Rattus norvegicus: one gene and its partners. The protein of the gene in region 2 binds, or shares a complex with, the protein of the main gene of each other region. Links are inferred from orthologs where the notes say so. Each region holds a gene or a part of one and is shown on either strand. Other genes may lie near its edges.

The links.
Region 1: the proteins of Wdr48 (region 2) and Usp46 are in contact, whole or in part, in a crystal structure (PDB 6JLQ), measured with the Homo sapiens proteins. The link is inferred for Rattus norvegicus from reciprocal best matches to the Homo sapiens genes WDR48 and USP46. Residues at the interface, in NP_065890.1 of Homo sapiens: Arg50, Trp77, Asp118, Tyr119, Lys121, Leu137, Arg139, Ser170, Tyr172, Thr188, Asp211, Asn212, Lys214, Ser230, Gly254, Trp256, Arg272, Ile364, Leu424, Lys425, Gly521; in NP_073743.2 of Homo sapiens: Arg181, Leu183, Asn184, Cys185, Glu186, Thr187, Cys222, Ser223, Glu224, Lys226, Cys232, Cys233, Ser234, Lys235, Gln236, Glu237, Gln239.
Region 3: the proteins of Wdr48 (region 2) and Wdr20 are in contact, whole or in part, in a crystal structure (PDB 5K1C), measured with the Homo sapiens proteins. The link is inferred for Rattus norvegicus from reciprocal best matches to the Homo sapiens genes WDR48 and WDR20. Residues at the interface, in NP_065890.1 of Homo sapiens: Val191, Lys207, Gly208, Gly240, Gln241, Gln242, Arg243, Cys244, Ile245; in NP_653175.2 of Homo sapiens: Arg20, Ser364, Thr384, Glu385, Asp386, Glu524, Pro525, Leu526.

The regions. Positions count from the first base shown.
Region 1 is NC_086032.1:34,501,961-34,508,323, reverse strand, and holds the start of Usp46 (ubiquitin carboxyl-terminal hydrolase 46), read right to left. Parts: upstream 4,175-6,363; 5' UTR 4,099-4,174; coding exon 4,063-4,098; intron 1,734-4,062; exon of another isoform or gene 1,569-1,733; coding exon of another isoform or gene 1,554-1,568; intron 1-1,553. UniProt on the Homo sapiens protein: Deubiquitinating enzyme that plays a role in behavior, possibly by regulating GABA action. May act by mediating the deubiquitination of GAD1/GAD67.
Region 2 is NC_086026.1:128,522,250-128,528,019, reverse strand, and holds part of Wdr48 (WD repeat-containing protein 48), read right to left. Parts: intron 5,158-5,770; coding exon 5,050-5,157; intron 4,768-5,049; coding exon 4,671-4,767; intron 3,209-4,670; coding exon 3,113-3,208; intron 2,146-3,112; coding exon 2,040-2,145; intron 1,173-2,039; coding exon 1,085-1,172; intron 1-1,084. UniProt on the Homo sapiens protein: Regulator of deubiquitinating complexes, which acts as a strong activator of USP1, USP12 and USP46. Enhances the USP1-mediated deubiquitination of FANCD2; USP1 being almost inactive by itself.
Region 3 is NC_086024.1:135,570,488-135,576,873, reverse strand, and holds the start of Wdr20 (WD repeat-containing protein 20), read right to left. Parts: upstream 3,629-6,386; 5' UTR 3,499-3,628; coding exon 3,250-3,498; intron 1-3,249. UniProt on the Homo sapiens protein: Regulator of deubiquitinating complexes. Activates deubiquitinating activity of complexes containing USP12. Anchors at the base of the ubiquitin-contacting loop of USP12 and remotely modulates the catalytic center of the enzyme.

The DNA of each region.
Region 1 (6,363 bases), on a different chromosome or scaffold from region 2:
GAGAGGAGAGACTTTAAGAAATACTATCCACTAAGAAACATCTAAGGACCAAAACTGTATTGCGCAGGATGAGAAAAATTAAGGTCCCAGATGTATAGTTTTCCAAAGGCTACCAATACCATACTGGCTAGGTGCAGGTTAACACGGGATGGAATGAACCCAGTCCCACAGGGCCAGTTCCGACTAGTGTTGACTACGATCACGTGCTCATGAAAAGTAGGAACCCCACACAGAAAGTGTGCGGCTCTTACAGGACGAGTCTGAGAGTACTCATCGGGGCAACCACTTCCCTGCGTCTAAGATCCGGTTCACACCCGTCTCTGCGGTTATCACACTGTATTGGAACTGTTTCGTCTTTTCCAACGTGAGGCCACCAGCTAAGGACCGAGCTCCTAGGGGTGCGGACTTATATCCTCATCCATTAAACACCTGCAAATAGTATGTATGTGCCAGCACTAACACTGTGTGTCATTCATCAGTACAATATCACACACACACACACACACACACACACACACACACACACACACACTGCTGGAGACTCAAGCCTCCCACCGGCTAAGCAAAGCATTCTACCCCTAAATTACATGTTCCACCGCCCCTCACAAAACCTACTACTTCATACAAGCATCCCCCACCCCCAAATACATCTTAACAGCACTATTAACAAATGAAATGAAGAAGAGAATGACTTAGGCAAGTTCACACCAGCACAAGTCACACTTGCTCCTTTTTTTTTTTTTTTTTCACTTTTTGAAAATTCCTCAATTCAAACAGGGAACAAAACAGCACATAAGCACAAGTGATACCTTCCATTTGTAGGATGGTGAAACACAGAGAGTGAGCAGAATACATGGCTCTAAACAACCGAGGATTATCAGCAGGGGACATCTCCTTGGGCCTGGTAGCAGCTGAGGCATTTTCAAAAATTACAACACACCAGCCAAACGAGCTTTTCCATCTCCAACCACACACGGCCATGTGGTCAGATCGACTCACCCCAAGGGAGCTGATAGGGCATTGCTAAGGGAGGGCATTTACAAGAACTAAATGTGAACCAGGTCTAAACTTTCAAAGCACCTCAGTGTGTGTGTGGAGGGGGGGGGGTAAGAAGAAGGAAGGGGGTGTTTAGACCTTACTGAAGGAACGACTTGCTTCCAGGATTATTTAAGCTCTCCTGGGAGCTCCTTCAATAGAGGAAAAGAGACAGTCTCTCAGGGCTAGATCTTGGTCTATCTTGGTTTGTGTTCCCCAAGAAGAGAATACCTTTAAACACTCTTTCGGAACATACACCAGAAGATGTTTAAAATAGACCAAATATCTACTTTTCTAAAGGCAGCCTGGGTATATTGCTCGGTGGGAGAGTACATGAAGCCGGGTTGTGAGCCACCCAGTGTCAAGTAAATAAATATAAGCAAACGACAAGCAAACAAGCGGTCCCAGCCTGTACTCCCCGCTCCTCATACCAGCTGGGGCAAAGGGAGAAAGTTGTAAAGCTCAAGAAAGAGGCTCAGCGAGAAACCCAGTGACAGAGAGACTCGGAAGACACCTACCTGGAAACAGTTCATGCTCAAGTAAGGCTTTATCCCGCTGTGCACAGACAGACAGCAGTCTCCTGAGCACCAGCCTGCTCCTCTGGGAAATGCCAATGGGAGGGGCAGAAGTGACCTGAGCGGCTTTTATAAGGGGCGGGATTTCCAGTTCCCACCCCAGCTCCTCCACAGAGTCATTCAGCTTGCTCTGCCTAAGTGACCCAATGGGTTGTTTATACTCAAGTAGGAGAAGAAGACAAATTCTCACAGCCCCTAAAACAGACTGGAAGGTAAGAGAAAGAAGGTACTGACCACAGCCGCTGCCACTCACTGAGAAGTTATCACGTACCGGGCCCAGAACCCCAGGAACTCCCCCCTGGGTTGCAGCCATTATGGGCCCATTTTTACAAATGAAAGCTGAGGCAAAGACTATCAAAGTGCTCAAGGGCACGAGGCAGCGGTGTTGGAGGTGGGACTTGAAAGCTGGATGGAGCAGAACACCTCTGTCTGTCATCTAGTGCTTACAGGCGATGTCATGCTGGAGGTCTACCTGGGCTAAGGAGCCCCACAAATAAGTACAAAAACAGGAGCGAACCTAGAGTCTCACATTAGAATGCAAACATTTCTCCATTTGCCCAAGACAGTGTCTACACAGAAACATATTAGGTTTACTTCACAATTGGACATGGGGTGGGTGGGTGGGGTGGGTGAGAATTAACTTGGTCACCAGAAGTGTTTATTCTACTGACACAATATTGGCCCATTCCTCTCCTGTCCTCCCAGAAGCCTGTCTCCCTGGCTGAGTGTCACTGAAAACAGGTTGTGACATTCTGTCCAGGTGTGCCAAGAAGTCCTAGCCACAGTAAGGACAAGAACAAGCCGGAGGCAGACTTCCTCTTGGGACAGGCTTGCTCTCCGGTTTCCACTCGGCTTCAATACTGAGAGGTGTCATTGAAAGCAAACCGGACAAGAGCAGAACCAGGAGCAGGCACTGAGCCCCCGGGAGGCTGTAGGCCTGCGGCCACCCCCACAGGCAGGAGATACAGCATTGAAACTACTGTGGTATCCTAGTTCTCCACATGAGCTTGGTTACGGCGGAGACACGGAGAAGAAATGCACTGTCTTCTCAGGGCATCCAGCCACGTTAATGTCACCGGACAGGAAGAAGCAGGAAACCTGTGTCTTCAAGCAGAAAGGGGAGATGGCAAGGTGACAGGCCCCGTCATCTAAGGAGACCTGTACCAAGCCGGCAGTTACCATCACTCTTGGCGACCAGCGCAGAAAGCTGGAGCCAGCCCCAGCAGGTCTCAACTCCACCTGAGCTAACACATGGCTCCTTCATGCTCTGTGCCATGTGTTGATCTTGCAACAGAATGTGGGACAGAAGATTTAAAGAGCTGTGTGATGGGGGAAGGGCAGCCAGATCACCTTACCTAAGGCCTACTTAATCAGACCTCCTCAGATTCCCTTTGTATGCTAGGATGACTATCTAACTTGGTGGCAGGGTGTTCTCCAAAATGGCAAAAACAAACAAACAAAACCCAACAGCCAGCAGTGTTCCAGTTTGGAGGGGCTCGAAGCGGGAGGGAGAGGAGGATCCAGAGAGTACAGGCAGAGCACACACCCTCAAGCCCCACACCAAAGGTAATGCTGACCCCAAACTGACCTCCCTGAGGCTCTCACAAGTGGGGGTGCCAGCTGAGTACGCTCAGGGGACCCAAAGGTTGGAACTGGTCCCTAGGAAACTAAACAGAACGGGAAGGTAGTTGGGGGGGGGGGGGACTCCAAATTAAAGTGACCGCTGGGTAACACTCCCCGCCCCCCCACCCGCCCCCCTCAGACAGGCGAGGCAGTGCCCAAGCTAAATGGAGAGGAGGCGGGGCAGGATGACCCCTGCAGACTTCCTCACACCCACAGTCACCTCACTCCTAGGGCCTGCAAACGTTAACTGCCGCCTTACAATCTCCTGCATGCAGGTGGGGAAACTGAGGCCTCCAGAACAAATTGCTGTGCTTTCCAGGTTTTAGTTCGCTTCTCTAGCCAGATTCTTCACTTGGATTTTTTTATGTCTATCCGATTTCTCCTGGTAAGAACACTGCTATTGCAAAGTGAATCTTAAATACAATCGAGGCTGAACTCCAAAAAGGAGCAGAGGACAGTCCGTGAGTCCAGGAAGGGTTTATTTACTGCACCAGGAGGATCTACTTCCTCCCACTCCAGGCTTGCACCCTCATGGTCCTCCCTCGGGACAGCGGTGTGCGGCACCTCGCACCCTCCACCCCCACCCACCGCCCGCACCACAACTCGAGGGCGGGGGCATGGGGCTGCCCTGGGGATCCCTGGGATCCCTTCAGGGTCCCCGGCTGGGACAGAGGCGGGGGACTGCGGTCAGCTGGCCCAGCCTCAGAGCCGGGAACTTCTGACCGCGCGGCCCCCACGACCGCGGCGCGCGAGCAGCTCCAGCCCGGGGTTCCCTTTCTTTGCCTGGCTCGCTGCGGGCGCGACCCCCGGAGGCTCGGCGGCCACTCACCATATTACAGATGGAGGCGATGTTTCGGACAGTCATTAGTCTAAAGGTTGCAGCGATCGCGCACCGCCATCTTTACCAGGGGAAAACGGGACTGTCCATGGTGGCGCGCAGCGAGGCCGGGTGGCGGCGAGGCGGCCTGGGGCCGGCTTGCAGTGGGGTTGGGCGAGCGAGGCCGGGCGGCGGCGAGGGCGGGGCGGCGGCGCGGGGCGGGGAGTGGCGGAGCGACGCAGCCGGGGCCGCGGCCGGCGGGAGGAGGAGCCCAGAGCCGGGAGGCGCCGAACCGGGCCGCTCCTACGTTCCCGTGTCCGCCAGGACTCGGTCGCCCAACCCGGCTGAAAGCTGTTCTTGCTCCCCTGCCCTGGGGTACCGCTCCGTGCCAGCTGCATCGCTAGGTCAGTCCCCAACGAACCCAGCACCGCGGCCTTCACACTGGACCCAGGACACTGGACCCTGGCCGATCGTAGGCTGGGGACCTACACCAGGGGGACACAGGCATGCTCGTTTCCCGATTTCCCTCTGCCTGTTCCTGGTGGTCTCCAACCAGTCAGGGCTTTTAGAGATTAGCTAGGGGAGCTGATGAGTACGGGTGTAAGGGAGTAAGGGTAACCCTAGTCCAACTTTAAAGTTTCTCTCCAGGGTTCTAGCCAGATGGCATCCACCGGAACCCAAAAAGTAAAATGAGACCAGGACATGGGCGTGGCCAGAGAGCCCTGACCAGCAGTAACCCAGCTGCTTGGGAAAGGGTTCCCAGAAAGGAAAGTATTCCGGGTCTAGGAAAGCCCCACTCGGGAGATTTGTGACATTAGAAGGTACAGAGGAAATGGCCAGGTTCTGGGCGGTGCTAGAGGCTGTCCAGGAAATACCAAAACAAAACTTTTGTATCCTCCATCCAGGGAGCTCCTGATCTCAGTTTTGTGAGATTGGGTGCTGTTTGAGTTTTCACACATTCCCACAGAGGCCAAAACTGCAGGCTCAGGGTGCACATTGTACACCGCTTGAAGGATACATTCATGAGAATTGAAAAGGTCCATTTCAAACATGGGGAATAACTGTGCGTCTGCCGTCCCATGGTTTTTGCAGGGAAGCTGTGCATGTGAAACGTGATAAATTCCTGAACCAATGTATTTTGTGGGAAATTAAATTAGGAGAGAAATTAATATAATTGAAGACATCTTTATGTAGCCAAGAGTAACATACTGGTGGTGGGGAGGAGGGCGCAGAGTTTTATACATAACATGTGAGAGCCATCCATTGGTAATTCTTCTAGGACCTGGGGTGGAAATAGAAGACGAACACTACTGACTGAAGGGGGGAGTCACGTGGATACTGTATTTTTCAGTGTGTAGAAGGATTAATATGTCTGCTCACGATGAGTCATTCTACCAAAATTTTATTTTCATTTTTTTTACTGCTGCCAGTTATAGTTCTTTCAGCTTCTACACAATCTATTAGTTAACAGACAGTTAGCTCCACAAGGCTTACAGAGAGAGCAGGTGTCCAACTCAGCTCTGTGTTACCCACATAGTACAGATAAAGGCTAAACTTAGGTTGGGTACCTTTGGGGGAGGGGAACCATTGATAAAACACCCAAACCATGACTGGCCAGAACAGTAAGGTCCAGAAAAGCTTATAAAGATTACGGAATGTCACAAGCTGAAGGCCTGAGCTTTATGAGTGGTTAAAGTTTTAAATTTCCATGTTTTCGGGGTTGGGGATTTAGCTCAGCAGTAGAGCGCTTGCCTAGCAAGCACAAGGCCCTGGGTTCGATCCCCAGCTCCGAAAAAAAAAATTTCCATGTTTTCTGATGATGAACTCCATGATTTCTTCCAATATGAATACACTGATACAAGGCCTACAGGAGTTAAAACACAAGTGAGAGCTGGGGAGATGTGCCAGTCAATAAAGTGCTTACAGCACAAGCATGGGTTCCGAAGTTCAATCCTTCCCCCAGAGTTCACACCCACAAGTAATGAAACATGGTCACTGTGTGTAACTATCCCGCTGCTAGAGAGGCAGACAGAATCCCTGGGGCTTGTGCTGGCTGGCCAGCCAGACTAGCCAAATCACAAGTTACAGATTCAGGCACAGACCCTCTCTGTCTCAAACAAGAAAAGTGGAAGGGATAGAGAGATGGCTGGATGGTTAAGAGTACGTACTGTGGGCTGGAGAGATGGCTCAGCGGTTAGGAGCACTGACTGCTCTTCCAGAGGTCCTGAGTTCAGTTCCCAGAAACCACATGGTGGCTCACAACCATCTGTAATGGGATCCAATGCCCTCTTCTGGTGTGTCTGAAGACAGCTA
Region 2 (5,770 bases):
GGAGATATCCAATAAAACATGGAACCAGAGCTACAAAACCTCAATCTGATTATACAAAAGTTAAGGTTTCCCCTGGGAGAAAACCTTGAACAAAGTAAATGTTTAATGAAGGCAGAGAGGAGTCAGGTTAATTGGCAACAGAAGATCACCTGTGAGTGAGTGAGTGAGTGAGTGAGTGAGTGAGTGAGTGAGTGAGTGAGTGAGACGATGACCCAGTTGGAGAAGTGGCAAAGGACACAGACAGGCAGGTCACAGAGAGAAACGGTCAGTGTGAAAAGACTCCTGACCTCACCACGAATAAGGACACATCCACACTGAAACACCGCACAGTATTTGATGACGGCTCAGCAAAGGGCAAGTGTCTGGTGTCGGTGTGGCTGTGACAATCAGGTGTCCATACACTGTCGGTGCAGAGCACACTGCCTTTGTGAAAGGGCAATTCGCATATCTATCCAGATTTAAAATGTCAGACCCTTTGATCCAGCAATTTCACTGTAAGAATTTACCCTAAAATACACAGAGACACATGTACAAAGACGTTCAGGAAGCACTGTTTGCAAATGCAAACAATGCAAACTACCTGGGCCCATTAAGAAGGGGCTGATCATTTACACAACAGAATAAGGTGCAGTCCTTAAAAGGGAACAGTCCCTGAGCACAGGTCTGAACAGATGTCCAAGACATATTTTTAAGTAAAAAAAAAAAAGAAGTTGCAGAACACTGTAAGAGATTTTGTGCAAAATTAAATGAACTCCACACTTATATCTGCACACAATAGTAAGTGCTCGTGTAGGTGACTTCCTACTGGGTTCCCCCTCTGAGAAGAGGGCTGGGAAGGGTGAAGAGGGTGGGTGGGAAGAGGTGGGCACTGATTACGTTGTAGAATAAGCATACATTATTGTTCTGACTGAAACCAGACAAAGATAAAAGTTGATATGTAAATAACTATCAGATGTGTCTACAACTTTGGAACTTCAGGAACGCAGAGAGGATTCTACTTAGCCGGTGACTTTTGTCACAGTTTAAGACTTAATGTCATGGTCCAGGGAAAGCAAAGGGCAAAGCGGGAGTGAAGGATACTTACATCCACAGTGATGTCGATCACCCATTGTGGCACGGTCTCATTGAGAAGCATTGCCTCGGTCTCGCCCCCGGAGTCCCGGCAGAGCAGCCTAGACACAATCCATCAGGTGGTCAGTGTCATGACAAGCAGGGGGACAGCAGAGGAGCCCTCACAGCGCTCATTGAGGACAGCAGAGGTGATGGGGGAGTAGGGAGACTTGGGCCCGATCAAGCCGCTTCTGAGTCCTGGGTCACTACAAGAAACACTCAGCCAAGGGCCTAGCCAGGGCCAGGCATGGCCCAGACTTCAGCTGCAGTGAGGGCTGCAGTTTGGTTACCTTGCTCCGAAGATCACAACAGAAGAAAGTCTGTGCTCAGGGGAAAGGCAGGCATCACCCTCACTTCCCACACCCAGTGATGCTGCAACACTTCCCTGCTCCTTCAGGGCTTGCCTGAAGCCTCCCCTTCCCTGGAGGGCCAGAGAGCATCTCCCTCACCCCAGGCTGAACCAGTATAGATCACAACAGTTTGCAGGATCAGCCTCACCCTCTTGCCTGGCCCAGTCTCCCATGACCAGGGACTGCTCTGACGCCATTTGATTCCTGCCTCTGGCAGTTAGCCACACTGGCAAAGTAAGAGAGGCAGGCATCTGGGATGGGGCAGGGTATCTGTGTGGGTGCGCACGTGTGTGTGCGTGTGAATCTCACCTTGGCCCTTCGTTATTAACATTCACTGCACCAGGCATTAAGTATCTCAAGGAGATGACATGTCTGTCTGGGCAGCATTTTTTATTTATTTATTTATTTTTTTGGTTCTTTTTTTCGGAGCTGGGGACCAAACCCAGGGCCTTGTGCTTCCTAGGCAAGCGCTCTACCACTGAGCTAAATCCCCAACCCCCTGGGCAGCATTTCTATCAAGAGGGTTGGCTTATTAAGCAAGGCCTTTCTAGGCAGGGTTCTAGTCTTTCTTATCCATACCTGAAAAGTGTGCGACCTCCAGCTTCTCCAAAGATCACGGGGGTGTGGGGGGGCACCTGGAAATAGCCATTTCCTTTCTGGACTCGGCTCTCCTGTTCCCCACTCACTGGAAAGATAGGCAGGCTGTTAATGTTGGGACCAAAGCTTCTGAATACTGACCACAAAGGCTGTAAACATTCCAACATTTTAAAAATAAAAAATCCTGGGGCTGGAGTGATGGTTCAGCGGTTAGAGCACTGGCTGCTCTTCTAGAGGACCAAGGTTTAGTTCCCAGTACTACAAAGTGGCTTACAACCATCTCTAACCCTAGTTCCAGGGTATTCAACACCCTTTCTAGCCTCCATGGGCACTAGGCCCATAAGTGTTGCCCTTATATACACGCAGGAAAACTGATATACATCAAATAAAAATGAACAAATCTAAAGAAACATTTAAATCAAAACCCTGCTCCTTGGTCAGCATTAGAAAGCTGGGTGGAGGAAGCTGGAACGGAGGACTGAGGGCTCTTCAGAGGACCCGAGTTCAGTCCAGGAGATCTGGTGCCCCTGTCTGGCTTTCACATGCACCCCACTTAACTGGCATAAACATAAAATGTTTTAATATTAAAAAATAATAAAGGTTTAGAACAAGTAAGAATGGTATTTAATATGTAAGAGCAGAGAATCTCATCAGAAGTCCAGTACCTGCTCACAGTGAGACACAGCCCCCAAAGGAGCCCCCAGGAGGGCTTTAATACAAGAAATAAATGTAGTTGACCCAGTGCCTGAGCTGACACACAGCCCCTCCCAGTCCTCAGCTCCCTGAACCTGAGCACAATGGCGCCACCTAGCACTTGGGAGGATCTATGACCACCCATAAACCGGTGATTTTTGAATATCACACATGGGGCTTCTTCTATCTGAGAGCCACATCCCAAAGTGGCCTCATCCTTTGCAATACTGGATACTCTCATTCAGATGTAGGAAAGAACAATTAACTGGGCACACCACAGCTGTGTCAGACTTCTGTACACTACAGTAAGTACCCCTTGGCCCACACAACTGTCACTTTTCTGAACAAACAGACACACTAACCATGGTTCACTTCATTCTCCTCCTCGTCCATGGGAGTCACATGTGTTCTGGGCCAGTACTCCAGGAGGGCCTGTAGTAGAAGTCCTCCTAAGTTCACTGTGGGTGAGAGGAGAAACGGAGACAGTTTGTTAGCTCCAACCTAAGACAGAAGCTGTCAATGTTCTCATGCTGCATCTGTTTTCTTGAGAAGCAAAATTATCCAGCAGGGCAGGGTACAAACAGGGCAGTTATGGACACTTGAAGGCAGAGGTGTGGGCTGGAGAGATGGCTCAGGGTTAAGAGCACCGGCTGCTCTTCCAGAGGTCCTGAGTCCAAATCCCAGCAACCACATGGTGGCTCACAACCATCTGTAATAAGATCTAATGCCCTCTTCTGGTGTGTCTGAAGACAGCTACAGTGTACTCATATATAATAAATAAATCTTTAAAAAAAAAAAAAAAGGCAGAGGTGCTTTTCAGGATGGGGATTATGTGTGAGCACCTTACAGAAGTTATATACACAGGTTTGGTGGCTTTTGAATCGGCACTTTCCAAACTGTTACGACTTTCTTTTTTCTTTGTGATTCAGCCTGGTCTTTGATTCATCTTCTTTCTTCCTACTCCCAAGTACAGGGATTAGAGGCATGTGCTACCACGCTGGGGTACACATGCTGTGGTGATTTGAATAGGAATCCCCCCACCATGTATTTGAACACCGGCCAATAGTGTGGCACTAGTAGGAGGTGTGGCTTGTTAGAAGAAGTACATCACTGTAGAGGTAGGCTCTGACACTTCCTATGCAAAAGCTACACCCAGTGTGACACACACGGTCTCTCCTTGCTGCCTGTGGATGAAGATGTAGAACTCTCCATTCCTCTAGTACTGTGCCTGCCTGCACGCTGGCATCATTCCTGATACGATAATGGACGAAACCTCTGAAACTGTAAGTCTGACCCAATTGTAAGAGCTGACGTGGTCTCTTCACCTCAATGAAACCCTAACTAACACACATCCATAGGCTTCAACCCCAAGACCAGAGACAAGCAGGTCTCAGTGCTTAATCTCAGAATCGAAGTTGCAGAGAAAACACTACCCTGCTGTTCAGCGGTCACCCTTCTCTGTTCTTTTTGTGGAGACAGGGGGTTTACATTGCAGCAAGGCTGCCCTGGACCTCAAGGCTCCTAAGGGCTGGGATCAGAGGCCTGAGCCGCCATGTCTGGTTGAAGCTATTCTTTAAACCAAAAACAGTTTGCTATTGACACAGGTACTCTCCCCAAAGCCAGCAACCTTGTATTTGTACGTGTTGGATTGTTACACACCAAGTTCTCAAAAGCGTGCTGAGTGACTTGGGCAGTGGAGATGCACGTCTGTAATCTCAGCACTAGAGGCAGAGGCAGGCGGATCTCTGAGTTCCAGGCCAGCTGGTTTACAGAGTGAGTTCCAGGATAGCTAGGGCTACACAGCTACACAGAGAAACCCTGTCTTGAAGCAAAACAAACAAATGACAGTAAGAGTCACGGTGTGGGGGACGCTTACAAAGATGACCAGCTACCTTCTTCAATCGAAGACACTTAACTCACGTTTTGGGTCTGACCCATCGGGACTGCTGAAGCCAGCATCTTTCGCAGAAACCCAGGCAGCGAAGCAGTCGCTTTCATCCAGAGTAATGGTCAGCATCTGTTGGGGGGAGGGACACACAGTGCTAGCAGCTTGCTCTCCCTCCCTCCTCTCCAGCACCTGACCCGGCAGCATCCATCCATGCACTAGACAAGGCTAAGCCATGTCTCTTGGGATTCAGCTTCAGCTTGCTCTACTCGAGAGTCAGGCTTACATGACAGCATATTAAGACAGACGGGGCAAGCAAATGTCTTAAGGACAGCAAACTCCTTAAGAATAATTAGGGCATGGAGGAAATTTTCAATTATCCAAAATCACATAAATACTGATTGCCTAACTCACCCCTGTTTTTAGGTCTACTGAGAACCAATTTGGAACATACACCATTTTAAATCTTTTCTTAATTTCATCTTCGAAGTCCACTTTGCCCAAATCTTCCACTTTGCATGCCTGCATAAGAAAAGAAAGCACAATGGTTAGGATGAAGTAAGGGACCGACTGGATGTCACTGCATTCTTCCAAATTTCACATTTGCTTAAATAATTCTATAGTATACTTCAAAAAGAACATAGCCGACTTTTATTCTAAGGCTTTTAAATAACTACCTGCTAGTAAACGTTTAAATTAGTAAGTTAGAGGATGGCTCATGGTTAAGAGCACTTGCTGCTCCTGTAGAGAAAATGGGTTCAGGTGCCAGAGGCCATCAGCCTCATGGGCATCCACTTACCCAGGTCCAGGGTCTGGTGCCTCTTCTTATCTCCCTGGCAAAGGCACAGACACGGTGCAGGCAATGCTCATACATGTAAAACTTCATCTTTTTTTAAACTGAAAATAATCTTTTCTAGGGGTGTGGCTGTAATTGAACTTTCCTGATACCGAGCTCCCCTGACACACCTGGAAGCACCATCAAGTGAACTTCAAAACAAGGGGAGAGTAGCCAGGAAGCACGTTAGAAGAGCTGGCTTAACGAGCTGAGCCTCTTTCAGACAGCAGCTGGCTCACAGAACGACTCAGAGCTTCCCTCTCCTGGCCGCCTTAATACTTCTAGGCTGGAAGGGTGGCT
Region 3 (6,386 bases), on a different chromosome or scaffold from region 2:
GCCAGCCCGGTCTATATGAGACCTTATCAAATAAAAAGTCACATATTCAGAACGACAGCAGATACAAACTCACTCATAGAAAGAAAAACTTTAACTCACTAGCTAGAGGAATTTAAATATCTGCCACAATACAAATATATCCTACAACATACATAGCATTTTACACACACACATCTCCCAAAGTTCAAAGCACTCAAAATCAGCAGGGAAAGGCAATTTATATGCATTTCTGACTTGGTTTTGGGGGGGTGGATGGGAGCTTTTTGGTTTTGTTTTGGAGACAGGCTTCTCTGTGTAGTCCTGGCAGTCCTGGAACTCACTCTGTAGACCAGGCTGGCCTCAAGATCCACCTGCCTCTGAGCCCAAATGCTGGAATTAATTAAGCAAGCCACCACCACCACCTGGCAGCATTTCAGACTTCTTTTAAAGAATGTTTGGTGTAGTTTTTAAAACTCTTTGTTTGTTTGGTTCTTTTTTTTTTTTTTTTCAGAGCTGGGGACCGAACCCAGGGCCTTGCGCTTCCTAGGCAAGCGCTCTACCACTGAGCTAAATCCCCAACCCCTGTTTTTAAAACTCTTAAAACACCATTATAGGGGCTGGGGATTTAGCTCAGTGGTAGAGCGCTTACCTAGGAAGCGCAAGGCCCTGGGTTCGGTCCCCAGCTCCGAAAAAAAAGAACCAAAAAAAAAAAAAAAAAAAAAAAAAAAAAAACCATTATAAAGATACTTCTAAGCACCTTTTTTTGTATGCAAACCAGAGCTACTAGATCCAGATGAAGTGTGTCATGAGAATGATACAAAATTGCCTGGGCTCCCTGGCCACAATGGGGGGGGGGGGGGCAAGAAACAAAAATGGGGGATAGGAAGTGATGACTGAACTAGTAATAGTAATCACTAGGAGTAAATTTAACTTTTTAAAGTTTATTATTTATTTATTTATACACATATATGTGAATGCCACATGTACGCAGGTACCCAAAGAGGTTTGAAGAGGGCTGTAACTACAGGTGTCTGTGAGCTGCCTGAAGTAAGAGATGGGATCTAGGTTCAGAAGAACACCAGGTACTCTTTAACTACTGAGCCCTCTTCCAGGCCCCACAAATTTAACTTCTAAGCACATTGTATTTTTACATCATCACTATTTTTGTCTTTTTGGTTTTAGATTGAGGGAGTTGTTTTTTGAAACAGGTTCTTACTATGTAGTCCTAGCTGGCCTGAAACTCTATGTAGGGCAGGCTGGTCTTGAACTCAGAGATCCACCTGTCAAGATGCATGCTACCACACCCACCTGGTTTTGGATTTTTTTTTTCTTGAGAGAGGGCCCCACCATATAGCCCGTGCTTGCCTCAGATGTGCTAACTGTAGCACAGGTTGGCCCTGAACTTGCCAACTATAGTCCTGGCTAGCCACAATTTGAGTGCTAGGATTGCGGTATACACAACCATGGTAGGGTCTAATTATACTTTTCTAAGATTTCTTTTATTTTTAAACTTATTGTGTGAGCTGTAAGTGGGTACCCAGAACCCAGAAAAGGACATGCGATTCCCCGGAGCTTGAGTTTCAGGCAGTTGTGAGCAGCCTGACATGGGTGCTGGGAACTGAACTGGAGTCCTCTGCAAGAGCAGCACAAGTCAATAACCACTGAGCCTTTGCTCCAGCCCCTAAAGGTAGGTGTTGGTAACATTTATTTCCAGAGAAAAGTCTGCTGTTTCAGACAGAGCAGGCATGTTGAGATGGCAGCTGCTCCCTAAGCTTGCTTTAACTGTAATTTACATCTCCTGAGTGTGTCAGGACTCTAATGCCATTACTGCCATTACTGCCATTACGAATTACAACATGTGCACTGCAGCCCTCCCTTTTTAAAGAGGCGCAAAGTAAAGTTTCCCACATATCCAAGGTCACCAATGAGTCAGTAACAGAGTTGGGAGCAGCACTAAAACTTCAGTTCCTACACTTCAAACCACTGGATACTTTCCTAATCCCAAGAGAGAGAGAGAAAGAGGAGTCAGCCAGCTATTTTCAAACACTTGGTTAGTACACTGACAAGAATAAAGACAAGTCAGAAGATCACCTTGGGCCAAAGAAACAAGCTACGTTTGCATACCATACCATTGTCCCTTTCCTTGTCCTCCTAACCTACACAGTACAGCGTAAAAAAAGCAGCTGATCTATTCATCCCTGGGAACATGTCCTCTTCAATATGGACAACTCACTTCCCCACTATCTCAACATTTATAAGTGAATCTTCCATCACCTTGTCACCTTCTGTCGGAAGTGCTATGGAGTGCGTTCATTTCCTCACTCTCTCAATGGTCAAAAGTTAAAATAAGCAGTTCTTGGAACATAGTTATATTGCCAATGACAAAAAAAAAAGCGCCAATAAATTGCTTTTAACGAGATATTTTAAAACTCGATGGCATGCGTCACAGAATTACTGTTAAGTTCTTGGCTGGTTACTTAAAGTAGCATTTAAGGCCTATCCCTCCCTGTTTGGGACATAGCCTGACTTGTTAGACAAGATAAATCTAGGCACGCTCACACAGAACACCTCTGAAGCAACTTAGCTTATTGAAAACATTATTTCAACCTCCCTAGTCTGAGTACTCAGCCCTATTATACTACAAGGGACAGAATGACCCTCTTCAAAAATCTTTCGGGAGAAGGTTCCTTCCGCGGAGACAATGACAGCCTTCCTCCCGGGAAGGTTTTTGGAAACAGTGCTGACACCAGGAGAAGTGTCAGTGCGGCAGCAGGTGGAGTAGCCCTGCGTGCCGAGCAGGTCCTTTCTGACCTAGTCTCCAAGTCCTCCGCCTCCCTGTCCCGGTTCCGCCTTACGGACCTTTCCAAGCCTCCTCGCGTCCCGGTTCTCTCACCCAGGGCAGGACTCTCGAGCCTCCCGGGAAGCGAGGCCACCTAAGACGGCCGCCGTATCTCTTCCGGGGACTCGCAGGCCCGCTCCCTGTCGGTATCGGAACCTGACGGACCCCTCCGGGGAGAGGCGACCGGCTACTCCCGGGGCATCCCCGCGACCCGGTTCCAGAGCCCCCTCCCCTTCGAGGCAGCGCTGCCGCCGGCGCCTCACTCCTAAACACCCTCTCCTCCACTCAGAGTACCTCAACGGAGTTACCGGCCCACTCAAAAGTACAAGTGCCGGCCGCCCCCACCGGTCACCCCGGCCTCGCTGTCACCGCCCAGCTCCCGGCCTCGGCCGGCACCGCCGGCGTGCCCCCGGTGACGCCCGGGTCGGTACCTTGCGGACCCCCTTGTAGATATAGAAGTAGAGCTCCCGGCCCACATTGAAGCAGAGGCGGTCGCCGTTGCCAGACTGGTCGTTGAGGTTTACGAAGGAGACGCGGACAGGGTTGGATCCCTGCGAGTTGAAGGGCACCCGGTTGGGCCGGCTGTACTCCGAGTGCGGCAGCAGCTTGTACAGACCTTCCCGGGTGGTGAATTGGGTCTTAATCTCGTTCATCTCCTTCCCTCCTCCCTCCGTCGCCATCTTGGAAAGCAGCGTTCATCCTGCCCTAAGTGCCCGGATCACGCCCACCGCGCAGGCGCCGTCCTCGGCCGCTCGCTCTCCACTCCCCACCCCCTTCTTCGCGGCCCCGCCCATTGGCGAGCCAGCCCCCATGAAGGCGGGCCGAAGCGAAAGGGGCGGGCCAGTTTACAGTCTAAGTGCGCACGCGCGCTCACCTGGCGCGCTCCACCCCGAGGGGCGTGCGCCAAACTCCGCCCCCTGGGTGCCGCCCTCTGAGTGCTGGTGGAAGCGCGCGTGCCGAGCATTGGTGCAGGAACCGGTCTGCACCAAGGTGAATCTCTTTCTGCAGCTTCGCTGAGAGACCCTTTCCCTAAGGGAGGGCCCCGCCTTGACCTCGGCCGGCTGCTGGTCCCGGCGAAGCCTGAGGCGAGCAGTGAAGTCCGGTGTTTGGACCTGTGCGTCCCAGCTGTACGCGATCCTCCCTTGGAAGCTGAGGAGGACTCAGACAGTCCGGTTGGGTGCTGGGTGCTAAGACGCTCTACGCTTCCCAAAAACAGTCTCACAGAAGATATCGAAGGATTGAGCTTTATTACCCCTCACGGTTTTGTTTTGTTTTGTTTTGAAGGCGGGGTGGGAAGAACAGCTTAAATGTGTTTCCAAGTCTCATCTGAAACCTCACGTGAGCGTTGGCTTGTTCTTGAGAAAGTAGGTTGTGTTAGAACTTAAGTCTCCTTTGCCGCTTAAGAAAGGTAGAGCTAGCTGACTTTTCTAAAGCCTCAAACGGAACCTGAAATTATTTGCTAGGAGAACCATATCGTTGTAACGAATGTTCTGTACAAAGTCTATTTAGACTATTTAGACTTTAGAAAGGACAAGCATACTCTCATTAAAGTAGAACTAAACAGTCAGCATTTGATGCATCGATTTCTAGGTATGTGCACTGGAATACGAAGGCTTCTAAAGTAATAAACGTTACAATAGAATTCTAGAATAGGGAAAAATGATAGACGAAGAATGAACTATCCCTGAGAAGTCATGTCTGTAGAGCGGAAAATAAGTGGAGCGAGCCCAGTGGGGGGCACCTGTGCTTCCAGACAGAAGTGCCTGAGCCCAGAGAGGGTGGGAGGCGGCTACCTGAGCCCACAGAGCAACACTCCAACCTCACAAAAATTAATTTGTACACAAGAGAGGAGTGTTCTAAAGGAGGTAAATCATAACCATTTTATGTAGTGGGAAGCAAGTACATAAACAGTAGAAACTGTGCCAATGATGTAATAATGCATTTGACACTTACATCCTATAGCTTTCATACATGCCAGCAAAAACAAAATAGCACTACCACAATTTTTTTTTTTGAGACAGTATTTCACTAAATAGCCCTGGCTGTCCTGGAACTCAATAGGAGACCAAATCCACCTGCCTCTGACTCCAAGTTAAAGATATGAACCACACACCCTGTTTAAAATGCTTTTGGGGCTGGGGTTGTTTGTTTTTTTGTTTTTGTTTTTAAGGCAGGGTTTCTTTGTGTACCCCTGGCTCTCTGGAGACTATCTGTAGATCAGGTGGTCCTCAAACTCTCAGAGATCTGCCTGCCTCTGCCTCTTGAGTTCTGGGATCAAAATTGTGTGCCACCACCGCCCTGCTTTAAATACATCTGCTTAATACATCCCCAGATTGCACTTTACATTTCATTTTGTTATTTGCCTTTTCCTAAAATACAAATATGGATCAGAACTCTTAAAAATACTAGGATATGTTCAGTGGAAAACCCCAATCTCCTATAGCTACGTTATTTTGTACAAACGTGTTTATAATGGTCATATTGAGGGCTAAGTAACAGCTCGAATTATCTAAAAAAATTTCAATTTGGATTTTTTTTTTTCGGAGCTGGGGACCGAACTCAGGGCCTTGCGCGCTTGCTAGGCAAGCGCTCTACCACTGAGCTAAATCCCCAACCCCCCCTTTTTTTTTTAAGATTTATTTATGGGGGTTGGGGATTTAGCTCAGTGGTAGAGCGCTTGTCTAGCAAATGCAAGGCCCTGGGTTCGGTCCCCAGCTCTGAAAAAAAGAAAAAAAAAGATTTATTTATGTATGTGAGTATACTGTTTCAGACACACCAGAAGGGGACATCATATCCCATTACAGATATTTGTGAGCCACCATGTGGTTGCTAGGAATTGGACTCAGGACCTCTAGAAGAGCAATCAGTGCTCTTAACCACTGAGCCATCCCTTCAGCCCTTAGATTAGATTTCTAGTTAATAGGGGAAACTATACTTTGGGAGGGGGAACCTCAGCAAGTAAAAACTGAAACAAAAAACAATTTGTTGACCTCCAACCATAATATTCAATTTCCCATGAGACCAATACACCACTGGGTATGGTGGCATTCAGGAGGGAGAAACAGACATTAAAACTGTTCTGGTCTACACAGAGTTCTGACACATAGTAAAGCCCTATCTTTAAAAAAATAAATAGGGGGCTGGAGAGATGGCTCAGTGGTTAAGAGCACTGACTGCTGTGGGGTTGGGGATTTAGCTCAGTGGTGGAGCGCTTGCCTAGGAAGCGCAAGGCCCTGGGTTCGGTTCCCAGCTCCAAAAAAAAAAAAAAAAAAAAAAAAAAAGCAAAAAAGCACTGACTGCTCTTCCAGAGGTCCTGAGTTCAAATCCCAGCAACCACGTGGTGGCTCACAGCCATCTGTAATGAGATCTGATGCCCTCTTCTGGTGTGTCTGAAGACAACTACAGTGTACTTATATATAAGAAATAAGGGGTTGGAGATTTAGCTCAGTGGTAGAGCACTTGCCTAGGAAGCACAAGGCCCTGGGTTCGGTCCCCAGCTCCAAAAAAAAGAACCAAAAAAAAAAAAAAGAAAGAAAGAAATCTTTAATAAAAAATGCATAAAGAAAGA